3 linked regions of the Arabidopsis thaliana genome follow. Each later gene encodes a partner of the first gene's protein in a complex. Each region holds a gene or a part of one and is shown on either strand. Other genes may lie near its edges.

Region 1 (7,370 bases):
TGCCAATAGCCCTGCACTAGAGGTTTGTGATTGCTTTTCCGTTTTCCACACACATGTATATTGTTCTACAACCTTGACCTAGAGACCACTGTTTCCAGTTGAGTTAACCACATATATTCTGTTGCAGGTTTTGGAGCTTGATAATTGCAATCTGTTGACAACTGTATCTTTGCATCTCTCGCGTTTGCAGAGTATAAGCCTAGTCCATTGTCGCAAGTATAGTCCTCATCTTTGGTTTCCTTTCAACCTGCAGATATTGTGATGAGTAGTCATACCTTTCTTATTATTTCACTCAGTTATCTTCTTTTCGCTGTGTTTAACAGATTTACAGATCTGAACTTGCAAAGCATCATGCTTTCGTCGATCACTGTTTCAAACTGTCCAGCGCTTCGCCGTATCACAATCACTTCCAACGCCCTTCGAGTATGTACTTAGTTATGATGGTTTTGTTATTGCAGTTCTATTTGGCTGAAAATTTTGATCTGATAAACTTGTTGATAATTCTTTGTTTTGATTTCAGAGATTAGCCCTGCAGAAACAGGAGAATTTGACGACATTAGTTCTACAATGCCATTCCTTGCAAGAAGTGGATCTCTCTGATTGTGAATCATTGTCTAACAGTGTTTGCAAAATATTTAGTGATGATGGTGGATGCCCAATGCTGAAGTCATTGATTCTTGACAACTGTGAGGTGTGATACAGTTTCTTCCATTTATAGTGAAACAGTTACTGAAATGAAAATCGGCGGTGGTGATATTTCGCTGGTTGGTTAATTGATTATAATTTTCTGATCATCTTGTAGAGTTTAACAGCAGTGCGGTTCTGCAATTCATCGCTAGCAAGTCTTTCCCTTGTTGGCTGTCGTGCTGTTACTTCTCTTGAGTTGAAGTGCCCTCGCATAGAGCAGATCTGTTTGGATGGATGTGATCATCTTGAAACTGCATTCTTCCAACCTGTGAGTGTTACTTTTCTCATATCAAATAACCAACATATCTTAACTGATGGATTTCTTGCTTCTTCCTTCTTGTTGTGAATAGGTCGCTCTGCGGTCTCTAAATTTAGGAATATGCCCAAAATTGAGTGTGCTCAATATCGAAGCACCTTATATGGTGTCCCTTGAATTGAAAGGTTGTGGTGTACTGTCTGAAGCATCCATTATGTGTCCTTTATTAACATCTTTAGATGCGTCTTTCTGCAGGTAATTATTTGTTTTTTTTTTTGTTTTTTTCTCTATTTATGTGACTGATATTATCGTGCTGCTAATCATTTTCCCCCATTCCAGTCAACTGAGGGATGACTGTCTGTCTGCAACCACTGCTTCTTGCCCACTCATTGAGTCATTGGTGCTAATGTCATGCCCGTCTATTGGCTCTGATGGCTTGTCTTCCTTGAACGGGCTCCCAAATTTGACTGTTCTTGATTTATCGTACACTTTCTTGATGAATTTGGAACCCGTCTTCAAGTCCTGTATTCAACTTAAGGTAATTAAGGCATTAAGACTTGTATGATGCTGGATGTTTCCCTTTCCGTCAGCAGTAGAGCATATACATTATCTTGCCAATGAAAACTTCTTGAGTTATGTTGTTGTGTGCATTCTTTGTATATCAGCTATTCATGATTCATATTGCTTTTGGGCTTACTTTGAGACTTTTTATTGTTTAGGTACTCAAATTACAAGCCTGTAAGTATCTTACTGACTCATCATTGGAGCCTCTATACAAAGAAGGTGCTTTACCGGCACTTGAGGAGTTGGACCTGTCATATGGAACTCTCTGTCAGACTGCGATAGATGATCTACTTGCGTGCTGCACACACTTGACCCATTTGAGCTTGAACGGATGTGTAAACATGCATGACCTGGATTGGGGTTCAACCAGTGTACATCTTTTTGATTACTTTGGGGTCTACAGTTCTAGTGACAATACCCAGGAACCAGCTGAAACAGCCAATCGGTTACTGCAAAACCTAAACTGTGTGGGTTGCCCCAATATTAGAAAAGTGCTGATACCACCTGCAGCTCGCTTTTACCATTTATCAACACTGAACCTTTCGTTATCGGTCAATCTGAAGGAGGTTGATCTCACCTGTTCCAACCTGGTTTTACTTAATTTAAGGTTTGAGCTTTTGCATTTGCTAGATAACTTATATTCTTTATCTTCCATGAAATGAGTGGTCTTATTCTATTGCTAATTCCATTTCGAATTGTCTAGCAACTGTTGCTCTCTGGAAGTATTGAAGCTCGGCTGTCCAAGATTAGCTAGTCTCTTTCTTCAGGTATGTTTTTGCTCCGTAACTTTTACCACTAAACACACTTTGGTACCTTAAGCTTGGGTCTATATGTTACCACTAAACACACTTTGGTACCTTTTGTCTTTGGTAGTCTTGTAACATGGACGAAGCAGGAGTTGAAGCGGCTATATCAGGATGCAGCTCACTCGAGACATTGGATCTTCGTTTCTGTCCAAAGGTACTAACAATAAACGAGTGTTAACTTCGATATTGAAAACTTAGCAAGTAATCCATTTTTATGTAACAATTAAAACCTTGTCTTGGTGAATTAACAGATATCCTCGGTGAGCATGTCAAAGTTCCGAACAGTGTGCCCTAGTTTGAAACGCGTTTTCAGCAGTCCAAATCTCTTGCAAGATTAGGGTTTTGCGCCAAATGTTTGATTATATACAACTTTTTCTGCAGATTATAGAAATAATGTGTTGTGTGGTGTGGTGTTTGGGTTGTAAATGGCTCCAAGTCATAAGTTTCAGTAGTGCATATAGGCCTCTGGAGTTTGTACTGTGGCCTTCTTAGGATGCTTGTGTGATGACACAAACCTAAACAACATTAGTACTTTTTTTGTGTACGTGGTTGATGATATTGTTGCTACTGTTATATGTAGATCTTATATTTACCTTATCAATTTACCTTTTAAGCTTTGATCCACATTGACTCACATAACAAAGATAAAAATTAAATAAAACTTTTGGAATAAGTAGGGGGTAAGAAAAATTTAGTATATTTTTTGGAAACTAAAGTCTAAAATATGAATGAAGGAAGAAATCTGGAATGTAAATTTGGACTCATGCGTATTGGATGATAATAATTTGGACTTCTTCTTCCCCCAAACTCTTATTTGGACTCTCATCACCATATATGAAATTACAACAACAATAATCGACAACAAATTTTGGAATATTTTCTCTATAAAAGAGATCTAGTAATTATAATAAATATAAATAAACCTCACTAACTATCGTTTAAGAATGTTATATTCAAATATTGCCTTCTACATTTTTGACTTACTATTTTTAATTTGCTAAATTACTAAAAATAACAAGTTTTTAGCGTCAGTAAATTAACTACACAGTTTGTTTTACTAATGTGAAATCAATTTTGCGAGTAAGGATTAAACCCTATAAATGATTCGAATCAAAGATAATAAACTTGGCATTTACTCCGGAATGTGACGTAAATTTTTATCCCTAAAAACTTCTGTGTTTTTGTTTTGGATCTAGTCTTCTTTTGTTTTTTAATGCAAAATCCGAGAGGGCGGGAAGTAATTGTTGTTGTTGATGCTCTTTTTTTTTTTTGTTGCTTTTGGGAACTTTTTTGGGTAGCGGTTTAAGTAACTTTGAACCTTTAAAAAAAAAAAACTCCACAGTAGTAAAATTTCGCCCCTTCTCTCTCTATCTCCTTAGGGTTTCTCAATTCTTCTTCATTTTGAAATTTGAAAAATTCTCTGGCGCAACCTCACGGACTCTCTTTCTCTCTCTATGACTCTTGCTTCCCCCAATCTAATTCTCTAGGGTTTTCTCGTCGAGCTCTTCACGAGTTCATGAGAAATTGTCTTCCAATGGAATTGAATCTGCGCAAGGGCGACAAGGTTTGGGTCGAAGATAAGGATTTGGCTTGGATTGCTGCTGATGTCCTCGATTCTTTTGATAACAAACTCCATGTTGAAACTTCTACTGGGAAGAAGGTCTGATTAACCGTTATTTCTGCTGAATTAGCTCTGTTTCTTCTTCTTCCTCTTCTTCATGCTTTATTCATGCTAATTTTTGCTGTTGTGCGATTTTTTTTCTGGGGTTTTAGGTTTTTGTTTCCCCGGAAAAGCTATTTCGGAGGGATCCTGACGATGAAGAGCATAATGGAGTGGATGATATGACCAAACTGACATACTTGCACGAAGCTGGTGTTCTTTATAATCTACAGAGGAGATATGCTCTGAATGATATCTATGTGAGTTCTTTTCACTCTTTTTTTCTTTGGTATTGTTTATTGAGAGGTCTTTCTGAGTATATTTGGAGTTTGAATTTTTAGTTTCTATACTTCCGGGGGTACTTTATTGAGTCGGATTTCATTCCGTATGGAAGTTTACTCATTTTCGTAGTGGTATTAGTGTACTCACTGGCCGGAGTTTTCCTCTAGAACGAGTTACTGTTGCTTTTGGAGTTTCTTGTGTATTAATATGTGGTGTAAGACATGTTTCCATGTGAAGTGGATTCAGGTTCTTTATGATGGATGCATCTAGATGTGACCTGATATATTATTTAGCCGAAAAAGATAGATATCGAAGTGAAGAAATTTATTGTGACATAATGCATATATCATTACAGGCATTTACTTGCCTATTTGGTATCTAATCGCACTTCAAACATCTTGTGATCTAACCCTAACTATTGCTTTTTTCAATATTAACAATATTATTGGCGGGAGCGGGATAATCAACCTTGTGTATTCGTAACAACTTTTTGTTAGTTTGTTGGACTGCCCTGTGACTGTGAATTATTTGTAGGTTCAATATTCCTTCTAAAGTTATGGAGAGCTTCTGTTCCGTATTTAGTAGGTGAAAGTATCTATTTTTTAGACAGTTTTGTACTCAGCTGGCTTGCCCTTTTGTAAAACATTTGGTGGCAGCTTGGTGTCTAATTTATTTATGTCCCCATTGAGATGATAATATTTAGTTGGAAGTATTGGTGGTAATAATTCCTGTATCATTCTTTTTGCCACTCATAACTGTCAGCTTTTTACGCAGTTCCAATAGTAAATCATTCATGACTGCATTATCTTCTTACAAATACGTTCGACTTCTTTTTCAGACATACACTGGAAGCATTCTGATCGCTGTTAATCCATTCAAAAAGCTTCCACATCTCTACAATGGGCACATGATGGAACAGTACATGGGAGCACCATTCGGTGAGCTCAGTCCTCATGTTTTTGCAGTTTCTGATGTTGCATACAGGTGATCCACTCTTTTTTCTCTAATGTTTCTGATTTTTTAAAATCTTACTATCAGTCATGTTAATCTATTAACCATAGTTATTCTTTATAACCCAGAGCAATGATTGACGACAGTCGAAGTCAGTCAATACTTGTTAGCGGTGAAAGTGGAGCTGGAAAAACTGAGACAACCAAACTAATCATGCAGTATCTTACATTTGTTGGGGGACGTGCTACTGACGATGATAGAAGTGTTGAGCAGCAAGTCCTTGAAGTAAGATTTTGGTTATAAAATTTGTGTCTTCTATCTTGTTCAATGAGAAAAAAAGAACTGGATAGATGCCTTTGTTTTCCTCCCCTGGTATTTGTTTGCAGATAAATATTTAGGGGTGATCATGTTTGACTTTCTTTATTTGCGAGTTATCTATTCTAATTTAAGTATTCTTGTTCTGCAGTCAAATCCTCTCTTGGAAGCATTTGGCAATGCAAAAACAGTTAGAAATGATAATTCCAGGTGGGTTATTGATTTTTTTTTTTCTTTCTGTTTATTTTTTCAATGAAAATTGAGAGGTGTATCTTTAATTGCTCTTATGTCATTTGTCAACAAATTTTTCATGATAGTATCCTTAATACCCAGTGATAACAGCACTTTATGATGTTGATATGGTTTTAGTAAACCTTTTGGTTGAAATTTTGTGTGCCTAGCTTTTAGACGAATCTACTGACCAATCTACTGATCTTCTTTTGCTGTTCAGCCGTTTTGGAAAGTTTGTCGAAATCCAGTTTGACACAAATGGTAGAATATCTGGTGCCGCAATCAGAACCTATCTTCTGGAGAGATCACGTGTTGTCCGGATAACAGACCCCGAGAGGAATTATCATTGTTTTTATCAATTGTGCGCTTCGGGGAATGTAATTCTTTTTACAGCTCTATATACATGTCATAAGAGATTGGTTTTGGTTTTCTTATTATCTGATTGAGCTACGCCAGGTTTTTCTCGCTGAGTTTGTCAATTTACCTACGCTAATTACTAATCTGTAAATGTTCTTATTTTGCTTAGGACGCTGAGAAATATAAACTAAGCAACCCTCGTCAATTTCATTATCTAAATCAAAGCAAGACCTATGAATTAGAAGGAGTCAGCAGCGCAGAAGAGTATAAGAATACAAGGAGGGCAATGGATATTGTGGGCATAAGTCAGGATGAGCAGGTATAACGACTTCTAATTGAATTTTCATATGTTTTTCTTCTGCCAGCTTCTGAAATTCCTTGCTTGTTTCCTGCACAAATCATTTATCAGGAAGGGATATTTCGCACACTTGCTGCGATTCTACATCTTGGAAATGTTGAGTTTTCCTCAGGGAGAGAGCACGACTCTTCAGTGGTAAAGGATCCGGAATCTAGACATCATCTGCAGATGGCTGCTGATCTTTTCAAGTACATAAAATTTTCTGATAGTACTCATTTTTAATTATGCATACGAAGAAATAGCTTGTTTATTTTGTTGTATCCATGCAAAATTAATCAGGTGTGATGCAAATCTTTTGCTGGCTTCGCTCTGCACACGTTCAATTCTGACCCGTGAAGGTATCATTATCAAAGCACTTGACCCTAATGCTGCTGTTACTAGCCGGGATACCCTCGCGAAGACTGTTTACGCCCATCTATTTGACTGGTTTGCTTTCGACTTTCTTAATCCTTTCATTTAATGGATGTTTTGTTGATGTACTACACTTATGTTTGAACTATTCGTTTTATGCTTCTGTCAGGCTGGTTGATAAGATCAATAAGTCTGTTGGGCAAGATCCAGAATCTCGTTTTCAAATAGGAGTCCTGGACATTTATGGCTTTGAATGTTTTAAGAATAACAGGTTAGCGATGATCCATGGAACTAATTAAATGATAGTTCTTTCCTTTCTCAGCCCCAATTCTTTGTTAGTTATATATGGTGCACTATGTTTAGCTGTGAACTGTGTAAACTTTATCTGGGCTGATTCATTCTGCAGTTTTGAACAATTTTGCATCAACTTTGCAAATGAAAAGCTGCAGCAACATTTCAACGAGGTAATATAGGGAACTCATTTTCAAATGTTTTGCCAGATTTAGTATATTGCTTCCTCTCCTTATGGTCTCTGGTCTGTTTTCAGCATGT
Region 2 (6,848 bases), on another chromosome or scaffold:
CCTTTTCCTGAATCATCAGGTCCACTTTTATAACCTCCGTAGATTATATTAACGGGTATTTTTGGTGGTGATGGTGCATTGTGACCTCTTCCTGAATCATCATGACGACTTTTATAACTTCCATAGATTATATTCATCGATACCTTTGGTGGTGATGGTGCACTTTTATAATCTCCGTAGATTATATTCATCGGTACCTTTGGTGGTAAAGGTGCATCGTGACCTTTACCTGAATCATCAGGTCCACTTTTATAACCTCCGTAGATTATATTCATCGGTACCTTTGATGGTAAAGGTGCATCGTGACCTTTACCTGAATCATCAGGTCCACTTTTATAACCTCCGTAGTTTATATTCATCAGTATCTTTGGTGGTAAAGGTGTATCGTGACCTTTACCTGAATCATCAGGTCCACTTTTATAACCTCCGTAATTTATATTCATCGGTATCTTTGGTGGTAAAGGTGCATCGTGACCTTTACCTGAATCATCAGGTCCACTTTTATAACTTCCGTAGATTATATTCACAGGAACCTTCATCGTTTTTATGAGCGGGTTAGTTTCTCCCATGACTGGTGGATTCAAACTTCTTGCATGGGCATAAGGTCCACGACACACAAAACAAGTGATAAGGGATATGAAAACTATTTTGGGAATCAAACAAGACATGGTGGGAGGCATCAACATTATTCGAGGTTTTTTTTAGGACTAGGAAATGGGGATGTGAAAATTGAAATTGGTAGAAAAAAAGAAGAAGAAGAAGTTGTCTTTTTTTTTGTTGATAGAAAATGATTGTTACAACTTACAATATATTAAAAATGTGAGTATTTGTATGTATATATAATAGATTATTGATTCACTCAAAACATATAATGTATTGTTATAATGTTTAATAATGATATGAATTATGTTAAAAAATAAATATTGTCTCAAACACAATATATCTAATCATAATTACTGTCTTAAACTATAGATGATATACAATAGTTACTTATGACAAAGTTTATCATTTTCAATTTTATTAGTACAAAATCAAATATTTTCATAGATATCAGTAAAAATACTATTTTGACAATTAACAATATTAAAATAAAATAAATTTTGTGGATATTGTAGATTCTAAAGTAAAATAACTATAATAAATTTTAAAATAAATGGTAATCACATTTTGTTACATGTTACTAAAATACTTAATTTATATTTAATGAATCAGTTTATCTGTCCATATTTTAAAATTTCACTAAAATTTTCAGAAATGTTTTGGAATTAGATTTCAGATTGTAAATAGTTTTCACTAACTTTTAATTATATAAATATATTAAATATTTACCCATTTCCTCAACAGAATGGAGATTTTACATTTATAAAACAATTCCATACTTCAAGAATTAGCATTTATTTATTTATTTTTTAAATCTGTTTTATACAAAAAATAGATAAAAAAATCATTTTAAGGAGTTGATTTTTTTAATGATTTGTAAATGTTCAAATCTGCATAAAACATTATTTTGATTTTTGAATATGATACCAAATAAATCTTTTAAATTTTAAAATAGAAAAATCACACTTTTCATTATTTTGAAAATATTTAAGTCTAGTTTTAATGGGCCTTATCAGGCCAACATGTTGGGCTCATATACACACTTTAATTCCGACATGTTGTGTACTCCAGATCGGACGGCCAGCTTGGCGCACTGGGTTTATGTCATGTGGGTCCCACGTATGATTCGCACCATCTTCATTATTTTTTCTCTTTCTTTATCTTTAATGTTTTTTTTTTCCTGTGTCTGTAGAATCATTTCGTCCACTTTAATCATTTTCGTTGATACAGCTTCTCCCGGTAATAATGTCGGCGGATTTCTCCGTCGCACTCTAAATTCTTTAGGATTTTGTTTCTCTTGCTCATCTGTAACTCAGGCAAGCTCTCGTTGGATTGTTTTAGGTACGCTTTAAATATTGATTCGAGTCGCTTCTCTCTGTTTTCATTAATTTTGTTTTTTCAAAAAATTTCTGGACTTGATTAGATGAGATTGTTGAATTGTGAATTGAGTTTTGTTCATTGTTGTTTCGGTAGATGAGGTTAGAATAACACTATACATCAGTTCTTTCTTTTGAAGTAGTGAGCTGAATCTAGTTCTTTAGCTGTTGGAAATTTTCAGATTTGTGTCTCTGATGACAGAGAATTTGATACCTTTTTTTTTGTTGTGAAATGGATTTAGGCATGAATGAGTCAGTCCCTGATTCTGTGGAAGACAACGGTAATTCAGTCCCTGCAAATGGATTATTAGTATTGCCTGATAATGATCATGAGGAAGGAGGTGTTGGATCACCTCAACGATCGAACAGCGTTGAATCTCCTGGTGGATCAGTACATTCTACGAGGAAAGGTTTTGGTTTGAAGAAATGGAGACGGATCAAAAGAGATGGTCCTGTGAGAGATGAGGCTGCTCCTGTTGATGATGGTAGTAAGTTACTGAAACGTGGATTGGCTGGTTTGGTGAATCCTCCTTCTAAACATGTAGAATTTTCTTCAGTTGAAGCAAGGCAGAGTAGTGAAGGCTCTGTTGGGTCAGTGAATATGGTGCATCATCCAGGGGTAGCCAACGGGTTTAGTCCCGATATAGGTTGTATGTTTGCTGTTGGGCAAGCGTTTGAGAAAAGTGAAGAGCATAGTGGTAATACCATAGGTGGAAAGAATGTAGTAGGAGGGAAGGTTGTTTCAGGTAGCCAAGAGAAACTCTGGAGTGATACCATCAAGAGGGCTAGCGAAGAGCGGGGGGATATCGAGAAGGAGAAGCCTTGTTCCAGCTTGGATTCCGACTTGAGAAGTAGTGATTTTGTGTTTTCGACTGGCTCGGTTTCTGTTGGTAACCATGGAGAGAAAGATGAGAGATTGACGATGAATTATATTGGGGGATTTAGCAATGAAGGTCAAGTTAAGGAGGAAGTTCAAACATATAGCAGAAGCGAAAACGGGAATAAAGAAGACGATGGAGAGAGTAAGAAAAACAACAATCATTGGGCAGATAAAGACGCACTTGCAGATTCTATCAGAAGCTTTGCAGTTCTGCAGGAAGTTCTTTGGAAAGGTTTGCACACGAACCTTGATTTTTGATATCCATGTGAATTGTTTCAATGTTCATGTCCTAAAGCTCCCATGTTTATATTATCAATGTTACATGATATTTCTAAACTAACTATGCGATTGAAACGTGTGCAGAGGTTCAAAGTTTCCAGGAGCTAGGTAAGGAATCTGTACTACTACATTCGAACACCGATGAATTGAGTTCAGACCAGCCAAGTCATCAAAATTGTAAAGAAGATAACTCAACATCCTCAGGATCAAAGGCACTGATCTTGAAGGAGAAGGTAAAACTTCTGGAACACAAACTCGAGGAAGCGAGAGCTGCTCTCGAGGCAAAGGAAGCTAGGATCCAAGAACTCGAAAACTCAAAGATTGAATCTGAACTTGAATGCATCTTCCAGAGAAAGATTGAAACTGAAATCGAACATTTGATGCTCACAAGATCTCTGAGTTCACTACAAGTACTCCAAGAAACTAAGAAGTTACATTCTCTGAAAGAAGATCCTGTATCAAACCGTGGAAACATCTTAGGAAAAACATGTAAGCTCGGTTTCTATATCTTGACACAATTGATCTTGCTCGTCTCTATACTTCGGTTTCTCGTCCTACAATTCTCTCCTGCTTCACGATTAGTAATACCAACTTGAAAAATTCCTTCTCCTTGTTGTGTTACCGAACATTTTTTTTGTTTCTCCAGATTGTAATAAATAAGGTCTCTCAAGGATATTGTCCCCATTGTTATAGTTAAATTACGATGTTTAAATTTCCCATCAACAACTAAAGAGACATTATTATTTTGTGAACTAGATTTTTGATATCGAATCCGATCACCGGTTATAATGGTTTGCCGACGGTTTTTGTGATTTGACTCAAGAGTGTAATAAAACCTTAACTTAAATCTTGGTTTTTGATTCAATCTAGATTCGGTTAATCAACCGGTCCGGTCTGGTTTTTAAAACAATAGGCCATTGTTGTAGGGAGTAGTTTAATCGGGGCAGAGGCTTATGCTATGGGCTTGGACTCTCAGGTTTCGTCTTAAACCTAATCAAAGTAATTTAAGCCGAAAACGGAAGGAACTAAAATTGGTGTCTTGACTAAAAATAATATAAAGGACATAAAATTAAAGTCCCCAGATAAAAGTTTGTATGATTTAGGGCAAAATCTCAGAAGATAAAATCATTCAAATTTGTGTGAATTTCGTTTAATCCTTATCCAATTTGTCCCAATTTATAATCTTATAAGAAAAATAAAAATCTGAAATACGGTGGTCTCAATTGCTCTTACCTTTACCAAGACGGCCATAAGAAAAAAAAGATGTCGACCGATATTTCACCACCCTACTCTCAAACTCACGTGGAGCCCGTTAATGGTTATCCTTCTGACAACAAGAGATGCGACGATTCCTCTGTTCCTGCCAAATATGATGATCTTGTCCGTAACTCTGCTCTCTTCTGGGAAAAGCTCCGAGCTTTCCTCGGATTAACCAGCAAGACTTTGAAGTCAGTTTCTTTCTTACCCTTTTCACATTTTTGTGAGACCTTTTCGTTTGGTTTAAGATTGTGGAAGAAAAAACCCAACTTTGTTTGTTTGTATCTCTCCCGAAGATTGGTTAGGGATTTAAGGCTTGAGGTGTTGTTATATTGTTTGGTGAGATTGAAAGCAATAGAATTAGATTTTGTTGCTCAGTGAAATGTTGAAAATTGTCAATTAGGGTTTAGTGGATTCCGGATTGGTGAAGTTTAAGCAGGAAGTGCGTTATGTCATGTGTATCGTCTGTTGAATTAGATTTATCGTATTCTTTACCTGTTTATATTGTTCATAAGGAAATGAAATCAAACTGGATTTAGTATTTACTAATCTGGATACTGTAATTATATCTATGAACGAGTTTAGGCTTAATGTGTGTTGTTTTGTCTCTTGTGTTTATTAATTGATCACTGTCTGGTAATGAAACATTTTCCGTCTCTGTAAAAGGGTTCCTACTGTGGGAGGAAACACTCTTGATCTGCATCGGCTTTTCATCGAGGTTACGTCTCGAGGTGGTATCGAAAGGGTATGAATGAGTTCATGTTACCGTTAATCATACTTTTGGGAGATTAATATTGTTCCATTGAGTATTGAAGTGTGTATGTTTTTTTTACTCTAGGTGGTGAAGGATCGGAAATGGAAAGAAGTGATTGGTGCATTCAGTTTTCCGACAACGATAACAAGTGCATCGTTTGTCTTGAGGAAGTATTATCTCAAGTTTCTTTTTCAGCTGGAACATGTGTATTACCTTGAAAAACCGGTGTCTTCACTCCAATCAACAGGTCTATTTCAGCACTAAAATTCTTATCGTTGTCTTACCTTTTCTTTCGTTGCTCTGTTACATACTGAGATAAGCCAAAATTCTCATGCTTTTCCAGATGAAGCATTGAAGAGCCTTGCCAATGAATCTCCAAACCCTGAGGAAGGTATAAGACACGTTTCTCTAACTCTTGTGGCTTTTTTATTCTTCCCTCCATATCTTTGTCCATTCATCAGTATGTAGTATGTTGTATTTAGTATTCCGTTGGATAGAAGTTTATTATTACAGATTCTCTTTAAAGAAGTAATGTCTGGTAGGCCTTTAATTCCCCAATCTGGTTCATTAGTTTTCTCACGTGACAAAGATTCCTGAGTTTAACGTGTTACAAATATTGGCTCTGTTTCACTCCTTTTAGACTGGAACAAATAAATATACACTTATCTTTCCTTTGATTCCATTCCTTATATGTTTTGAGTTTACCGCGTGTGTGTCTAGTAAAATTTTGACCGTGTGTCTTTGTGCTTCATTGTGGAACCTGCAGGTATTGATGAACCACAAGTTGGGTATGAGGTTCAAGGATTCATTGATGGGAAGTTTGATAGCGGCTATCTGGTGACGATGAAATTGGGTTCTCAAGAGCTGAAAGGTGTCCTTTACCACATTCCTCAAACGCCAAGTCAGTCTCAACAAACCATGGAAACACCTTCAGCCATTGTACAATCATCACAACGCCGGCATAGGAAGAAATCAAAGTTGGCTGTAGTCGATACTCAAAAACCCAAATGCCACAGGAGTGGCTACAACTTCTTTTTTGCTGAGCAGTACGCGAGGCTTAAACCTGAGTACCATGGACAAGAACGATCCATCACTAAGAAAATAGGACACATGTGGAGCAATCTCACTGAATCTGAGAAACAGGTAACCAATCATCATCGAATTATATCCACTTTTTTTTTTTTTTCATTAAACCAGTGTTTGCTTACAAATTTGTTCATCATTACAGGTTTATCAAGACAAAGGAGTTAAGGATGTGGAGAGATACAGAATTGAGATGTTGGAATATAAGTCTTCACATGAATCAGGAGCTACTGCTTCTACAGTGGCTCAGTAGCTTTTCTCCCTTTTGTTGTCTTACGTGTCTGTTGTAACATTTTTCCTTTTCTCTATAGAACTTGTTTTCTTTTTCTTTCTAAATGTAATGTTTTCTATCAGTTGGAGGATTTGTCAGCTTTATTATGGCTTTAGAGCTAGTGAGGAGGTTACTAACTGTGAACTAGTGTCTCTCTTGTTGTTTCTTTTAGTAAGTGCCATTTTTGTAGTGAATTACAGGCATATCCATATATCCAGATCTTTCTTCAAAAACATGGCGCATATGTTTCTTTTCGTTATGTTACTTGATGATATGTGATGTATCTTTATTAAGTCCCCGTCTGTAGTATCTTTATTAAGCTCAAAGTTCGGCGGTGGAGGCGTGGAG
Region 3 (7,055 bases), on another chromosome or scaffold:
TTGAGCATCTTTGACACTAAATGAGATTACAACTTTACAGGAAACTACATTGTGTTCTATGATGCTATCAAGAAAGCCTATCCAGATATCAAAATCATCTCCAACTGCGATGGATCCTCTCATCCACTCGACCACCCAGCTGATTACTATGACTATCACGTAAAATTTTCTATCTTGACAGAAACTGTAACCGTTGTCTTGTGTTCTCTCTTCCGCCTGAAAAAAGTGTTTCCTTTTTGTCACAGATTTACACTTCTGCTAGCAATTTGTTTTCCATGTATCATCAATTTGATCGCACTTCACGCAAAGGTCCAAAGGTGCGGTAATAGATTATAACAAAACTTAATTCCAACAAACACAAGATGAAGCTTTCAGCGTTTTACTCACTCGTGAACTTTGTTTACAGGCTTTTGTCAGTGAATATGCTGTTACTGGAAAAGATGCTGGTACAGGAAGCCTTCTTGCCTCTCTTGCAGAAGCTGCGTTTCTCATTGGTCTTGAAAAGAATAGGTTCCCTTTGAATTTCTCTTCCCAGGCTTTGATCTCAACTAAAAACATCAAATAAGTTAAACATCTTATGACTTTTTGCAGTGACATTGTTGAAATGGCAAGTTATGCTCCACTCTTTGTGAACACAAATGATAGACGGTATCTCTCACTTACTTTTCCGTTCGAATGGTTACTCAGGAAGATAAGGCAATAATCTCAAATTGTTAAATTGGTTTCAGGTGGAACCCTGATGCAATAGTCTTCAACTCCTCTCATCTATATGGAACACCTAGCTATTGGGTTCAACGGTTTTTTGCAGAGTCAAGCGGAGCAACTCTTCTCACTTCAACACTCAAGGGAAACTCTACTTCTCTTGTTGCATCTGCTATCTCTTGGAAAAACAATGGCAAAGATTACATACGCATAAAGGTAAACCGAGTGAAAGATTCAACCGGAGCTCTGATATTGACCCTAAAAAACTGTTTCAAAATCTGTTATTTGCAGGCTGTAAACTTCGGAGCTAACTCAGAAAATATGCAAGTGTTGGTAACTGGATTGGACCCGAACGTGATGAGAGTTTCGGGATCAAAGAAGACAGTACTTACCTCTACCAATGTGATGGATGAAAATTCCTTCTCACAGCCAGAGAAGGTAAAAATCAAGAGATGGAAGAAACATCATTATCATCACAAATTCTGAGTGTTCCCATGTTCTTATTGGTTTTTATTTGCAGGTTGTACCACATGAAAGCTTGCTAGAGTTGGCAGAGGAGGATATGACCGTTGTTCTCCCGCCACATTCCTTTTCTTCATTCGATTTGTTGAAGGAATCTGCAAAGATAAGAATGCCAATCTCTGATTCTTCTTCCCATCAGAAAACTACCACTGTGTGAAGAGAAACAATGACAAGGAAGTATCAACTTTCATGTCAAAAGTCTCTTTGTGGTTCAAATCTAATTACATTCCATAAATGCTTATAACGTACCCTTGTGTATATATAATAATAGTCTGGTGAATAAATTTACTTTCTTTAATCATGAGCTTATCTCGACTCTAGATATCTTGATATGCAAGAATGATGAAGCAACAGTTTCTTCTTAGCATAAAAGAAGATGACGAGGCGTGAAAGTGGGCTGGGCCATTTTATTTCCATTATTGGGCTTTTAAAAGCCCATCATAATGAATTTTGAAAAAAATGGAGGAGCATCAAAACAAATAAAAATGGCGAAACTGAAGAACACACGATTCAGATTTTCAAAATTGAATTTTGTAGTGATCTCTCTCCTATATAAACTTCCTCACTCTTCTTCCATTTCAAATCTCTCTCTCTGTAGTCAAAATTAGGGTTTATTTATTCATAAGGAAGAGCATTTCGAATTCTGTAGTTCAAAATTGAAGATCATGTCGGCGTCAACGGTGTCAATCACCGCTAGTCCTAGGACAATAAGGCGGACGCCGGTTCTCTCCGGTGAGAAGAAATCTAATTTTGATTTCCCGCCGAGCGAATCTCATGCCAATGCGGCAATTGGAGAGTCGTCTGCTGGTACGAACAAGGATCTGATTCGCGCCGAGGCTGCCGGTGAGAGATCCAACACCTACGACGTAGGTCCGGTGACAAGGAAATCAGGATCCACCGCGACGGGGACTAATACAACCACCACGCAGCGTCGGACGCGGAAGTCTCAGGGGAATAAGATAGATAGAGGGAAATGGAAGACAGTGGTTAGGGTATTCGCGAAGCAATTTGGGGCTCTTTTGTTACTTGTTGGATTGATTCAGTTGATTAGGAAATTGACTTTGAAGGATTCGTCTCTGTCTTCTTCGAATTTCCCAATTGAAACGGAAATGGTGCTTTCGGAATTGGAGAGTCGGATTTCTGCAGTTGATGGTTTGGTGAAGACTACGACGAAGATGATGCAGGTTCAAGTTGAGTTTCTTGATAAGAAGATGGATAGTGAATCAAGAGCATTGAGGCAGACGATAGATTCCACATCTTCTGTGTTACATAGTGAGTTGAAGAAGGTAGAGTCTAAGACAGAGAGGTTACAGGTTTCTGTAGATGAGTTAAATGCTAAACCTTTGGTGTCTAGAGAGGAGTTAGAGAGAGTTTACGAGGAGTTGAAGAAGGGTAAGGTCGGTGATTCTGATGTTAACATTGATAAACTGAGGGCTTATGCTCGTGACATAGTGGAGAAAGAGATAGGGAAACATGTTGCAGATGGCCTTGGTCGAGTAGATTATGCGTTAGCGTCTGGTGGAGCTTTTGTAATGGGGCATTCGGATCCGTTTCTTGTTGGAAATGGGCGTAATTGGTTTGGGACAAGCAGGAGACGGGTTCATAGCAAAGCGGTTAAGATGTTAACTCCGAGTTTCGGGGAGCCTGGACAGTGTTTTCCTCTGAAAGGAAGCAATGGATATGTTCTAGTCAGGCTAAGAGCACCAATAATTCCAGAAGCTGTTACTTTGGAACATGTCTCTAAGGTAGTACTAACATCTCAATACTAAACTTTCACAAAATGATTGATTTTTATATGTTAATTTGAGCCTTCAAGAAGGGTTCTCTGTTAAATGTTGTTGGTATTGAGATGCCCTGTACTTCGGATTGGATTGCTGGTGACAATAGGTTATCGAATAGAGGGCAAGAAACTAGTTTTGTGAATTTGAGTTCTTATAGTTTGAGGTTTAGTTTAGGCACTAGCTGTGACAATATGCATTGAGGAGGATTTTACCTATTGTTATTTTCTGCAAATCACTAGCTTTAGCAGTTCCTTTGTCTAATATCAATGCCACTGTGTTGTTGTGCTTTGTTTGGGACATCGTTGACAGAGAAAAGAACCGTATGTATGGGAAGAGCTTGTAAGTTTACAATTAGTGGAACTGTAATATTCACTGTTTACGGATATCCTTAGGAAACAGTAGCTGAAGGGAAATAGTCTCAAGAGTGTGTAATGTGATGGTCACACATTGCTTTCCATCATTGTTCATCCTTGTGATCATTTGTCTGATAAATTTCTTCTTGTCTGACCACTAAAAGGCAATACTAATCTTACGGTTATGTTATGCACCATTTAATCGAACAGGCTGTAGCATATGACAGATCGAGCGCCCCAAAGGATTGCCGTGTATCAGGATGGCTAGGTGACATAGATATGGAGACTGAGACAATGCCCCTTCTTACAGAATTCAGTTACGACTTAGACAGGTCCAATGCACAGACATTCGACATTGCAGACTCTGCTCACTCAGGACTTGTCAACACTGTCAGGCTAGACTTCAATTCCAACCATGGAAGCTCTTCACACACTTGCATCTACCGCTTCAGGGTTCATGGCCGTGAACTAGACTCAGTCTCTGTTGCTCATGCTTGATCTGAAAGTCCACGTCAAACTTTTCTTCTCTTTGTAACATTCCCTCTAATAGATATCTCTCTTCTTTTTTTGTGTTAGTTTATGTGGTGGGAAAGCTTCTCTTAGTCTGTAATCAGAATCATTTGGTTGTATTCGTGATTATTAGCTTCAAATCTGTTTTGGTTCGGTTTATTTGGTCAGGGTATGTATCCTCCGAATTGAATAATATAGATCTTAGTTTGATGTCCGGTTTTGGTTTTGTAACAGAGTTTCAATTTAAGCTTTCACCTAAAACAAATCATACAAATTCTAATAGAGTATACATATTTCATTAGTTGAAACAAATATTGAATTTGGATTATTAATGGTTACCTTGGGTACTTGGTATTACAACGATATGTGATGAATAGGAAGAGTGTGTATATAGATGGACCATAACTTGTTAGTGTGAATTGCGTAATCGACAAAGTGACGACTTCTTCTTCTAGGCTGCACCGTCTTGCCTTGTCTAAAAGCTTCCCAACACATCACATGCAAAATCTACGGTCAAATAATAGATATGAAACCCTCTTCCAAGTCAACACAGCTTGTTTGATTATAAATTAAATTAAATACAAATTCATCTTTGACATGTCTGATTAATGTTAATTTTTTACAGTGTCAACTGGCATAACAAATTGAGCTAAACAAAATTAAGCTCTAAAAATAGCCATTTTTTACGGTTAAATCACATGAAGAAACCTTTCCTAACCAAGTCAACCCATGTTTGGTCGTCGTGACGGTGGACCACCGGCTCCAAAAAAACTCTTCATTTGACCAAAACGAGTATAACCCTTAATTATTAGACCAACATGCATTACATAAATGATAAATTCAGTTTCCCTCGAGCCCATGCATTCATTAAATAGCAGAAAGCTCCTCGTATAGTCTATATATATAGCAGATTTTAGATCCAAAATAACAAACACCATCAATACACAAACAAAACAAAAAGGATGAAAATGCAAACACTAAACTTCACTTCTTCTCTCTTGTTCTTGTCTTTTATCTTCCTCTCATGTGCTCTGCTTATCTCATCACAACAATCTCCATCACAGCCACATTCTGAGCCTCCGTCACAGCTACCTTTTGAGCCTCCGGTAGAGTCACCATTCTTCCCTCCGTCACAGCCACCAATATTCGTGCCACCGTCACAGCCACCTTCTTTGCCTCCGTCACAGTCTCAGTCACCTTCTCTCGCTTGCAAGTCAACTCCATACCCTAAGCTTTGCCGTACGATCCTCAACGCTGTCAAATCCTCACCGTCAGATCCTTACCGTTACGGCAAATTCACTATAAAGCAATGCCTCAAGCAAGCAAGCCGTCTATCCAAAGTCATCACCAGTTACGCGCGGCGCGTGGAAAGCAAACCAGGCTCGGCCACGGCCGAGGAAATAGGGGCGGTGGCGGACTGCGGCGAGTTATCGGAGCTGAGTGTGAACTACCTTGAAACCGTCACGACGGAGCTTAAGACGGCGCAGGTGATGACGGCAGCTCTCGTCGAGCATGTGAACAGTCTTCTCAGTGGTGTAGTGACGAATCAGCAGACGTGTCTTGACGGACTCGTGGAGGCTAAGAGTGGTTTCGCCGCCGCGATTGGTTCGCCGATGGGGAATCTCACTCGCCTTTACAGTATCTCGTTAGGACTTGTGAGCCACGCACTTAACCGTAACCTGAAGAGGTTTAAAGCCTCCAAAGGGAAGATTCTTGGTGGTGGGAACTCAACCTATCGCGAACCGCTCGAGACTTTGATTAAGGTAATTAATTAAAACTTGTTTCTAATTCTTTTCTTTTTTCGTTTTTGTTTGTTTGTTTATACTAGCTTTTATACATTCCTTTACATATTATTATAAAGTTGTTAATAATCTAGTTGTAAAGACATTACATATTTTTGAAATGGTTGGCATAGAGATATAAGAATAGGAATTTGGGGAAATACCAAAAACATTATATATATATATATATATATATGCCTTCTTATCATAAATCCTTAGAAAAAATCAAAACAGAGTTTTTAAATCGATGATTTATAATAATTTTTGTATGGTCACCACTCACCACAATTCAAACATGAATAATGAAAGGTTATGCAAAAGCCTTTTTGGACATACATGTATGAATAGATAAGCATCGTAGGAGGACATATACTAAGTTAAATATGGTATGAATTTACTACTTTGGACGCACGGAATGATTTAATATTCGTGCATATCTAAAATTTTCTAGATCGAGTCATAAATGGATGTGCTCTTGTTTTGTGTGTGTGAGCCAGAACACGCGTAAGAGAGTAAATGGCACATGGCCTACGCACATTTTAGTACAACTCAACAATGATCAAATGAGTCCTATCTTTGACTTTAACAAAAGAAATCAATTTGGTCCCCATTCGGATCCAACTGTATTCACGTGCATAAGAGTGTCCCGGTCATTTCATGTGTGGCTACAATGAACATTGATTTTAAAAAGGCATGAGTCTACAAGCTAATCATGTACTAAGCACATTTTCTTTTTCTGGTATAGGGTTTACGTAAAACATGCGACAACGACAAAGATTGCCGGAAAACTAGCCGGAACTTAGGGGAGCTAGGTGAGACCAGCGGCGGTTCCATCCTCGTGAGTAAAGCAGTGATCGTCGGTCCGTTCAAATCCGACAACTTCACAACCATCACCGATGCTATTGCAGCCGCACCTAATAACACTAGACCAGAGGATGGTTACTTTGTTATCTACGCAAGAGAAGGTGTCTATGAAGAATATATTGTTGTTCCCATCAACAAAAAGAACTTAATGCTTATGGGAGATGGGATCAATAAGACGATTATTACAGGGAACCATAATGTTGTTGATGGTTGGACTACGTATAATTGCTCGAGCTTCGGTTGGTATTCTTATCTCTCTTTTTGTCATTTGGAATTACTTAGTTAATGATATATAGTTTTATTTTTATTTTCTAGCTGTGGTTGGAGAGCGGTTCATGGCGGTTGATGTTACATTCAGAAACACAGCCGGACCTGAAAAACATCAGGCAGTGGCTTTGAGGAACAATGCGGAAGGATCAAGTTTTTATCGGTGTAGTTTTGAAGGCTATCAAGATACTCTCTACGTCCATTCTCTTAGACAATTCTATCGCGAATGCGATATATATGGTAATATAAGTTTTGTTTCCGCTTCATTTTCCACA

The links.
Region 2: XI-I (region 1) and WIP3 share a complex: the UniProt entries of both Arabidopsis thaliana proteins name them as parts of the LINC complex.
Region 3: XI-I (region 1) and SUN2 share a complex: the UniProt entries of both Arabidopsis thaliana proteins name them as parts of the LINC complex.

What each region holds. Positions count from the first base shown.
Region 1 is NC_003075.7:16,011,252-16,018,621, reverse strand, and holds the start of XI-I (myosin), read left to right. Parts: upstream 1-3,652; 5' UTR 3,653-3,829; coding exon 3,830-3,973; intron 3,974-4,086; coding exon 4,087-4,233; intron 4,234-5,093; coding exon 5,094-5,239; intron 5,240-5,334; coding exon 5,335-5,491; intron 5,492-5,672; coding exon 5,673-5,731; intron 5,732-5,972; coding exon 5,973-6,129; intron 6,130-6,278; coding exon 6,279-6,428; intron 6,429-6,518; coding exon 6,519-6,655; intron 6,656-6,746; coding exon 6,747-6,893; intron 6,894-6,987; coding exon 6,988-7,089; intron 7,090-7,224; coding exon 7,225-7,282; intron 7,283-7,365; coding exon 7,366-7,370. Other genes in the region: SLOMO (F-box family protein), read left to right, coding at 1-22, 128-216, 324-423, 521-691, 803-955, 1,038-1,198, 1,283-1,481, 1,663-2,114 and 3 more. UniProt on the Arabidopsis thaliana protein: Myosin heavy chain that is required for the cell cycle-regulated transport of various organelles and proteins for their segregation.
Region 2 is NC_003074.8:4,335,355-4,342,202, reverse strand, and holds WIP3 (WPP domain interacting protein 3), read left to right. Parts: upstream 1-1,756; 5' UTR 1,757-1,766; coding exon 1,767-1,941; intron 1,942-2,218; coding exon 2,219-3,088; intron 3,089-3,219; coding exon 3,220-3,731; 3' UTR 3,732-3,917; downstream 3,918-6,848. Other genes in the region: AT3G13370 (formin-like protein), read right to left, coding at 1-539; AT3G13350 (HMG (high mobility group) box protein with ARID/BRIGHT DNA-binding domain-containing protein), read left to right, coding at 4,399-4,583, 5,059-5,137, 5,231-5,393, 5,490-5,537, 5,913-6,289, 6,375-6,482. UniProt on the Arabidopsis thaliana protein: Mediates and enhances the nuclear envelope docking of RANGAP proteins mediated by WIT1 and WIT2 in the undifferentiated cells of root tips.
Region 3 is NC_003074.8:3,355,357-3,362,411, reverse strand, and holds SUN2 (SAD1/UNC-84 domain protein 2), read left to right. Parts: upstream 1-1,709; 5' UTR 1,710-1,889; coding exon 1,890-2,969; intron 2,970-3,568; coding exon 3,569-3,856; 3' UTR 3,857-4,124; downstream 4,125-7,055. Other genes in the region: ASD1 (alpha-L-arabinofuranosidase 1), read left to right, coding at 41-159, 246-317, 407-510, 592-648, 729-918, 994-1,140, 1,223-1,381; AT3G10720 (Plant invertase/pectin methylesterase inhibitor superfamily), read left to right, coding at 4,831-5,631, 6,395-6,752, 6,829-7,020. UniProt on the Arabidopsis thaliana protein: Component of SUN-protein-containing multivariate complexes also called LINC complexes which link the nucleoskeleton and cytoskeleton by providing versatile outer nuclear membrane attachment sites for cytoskeletal filaments.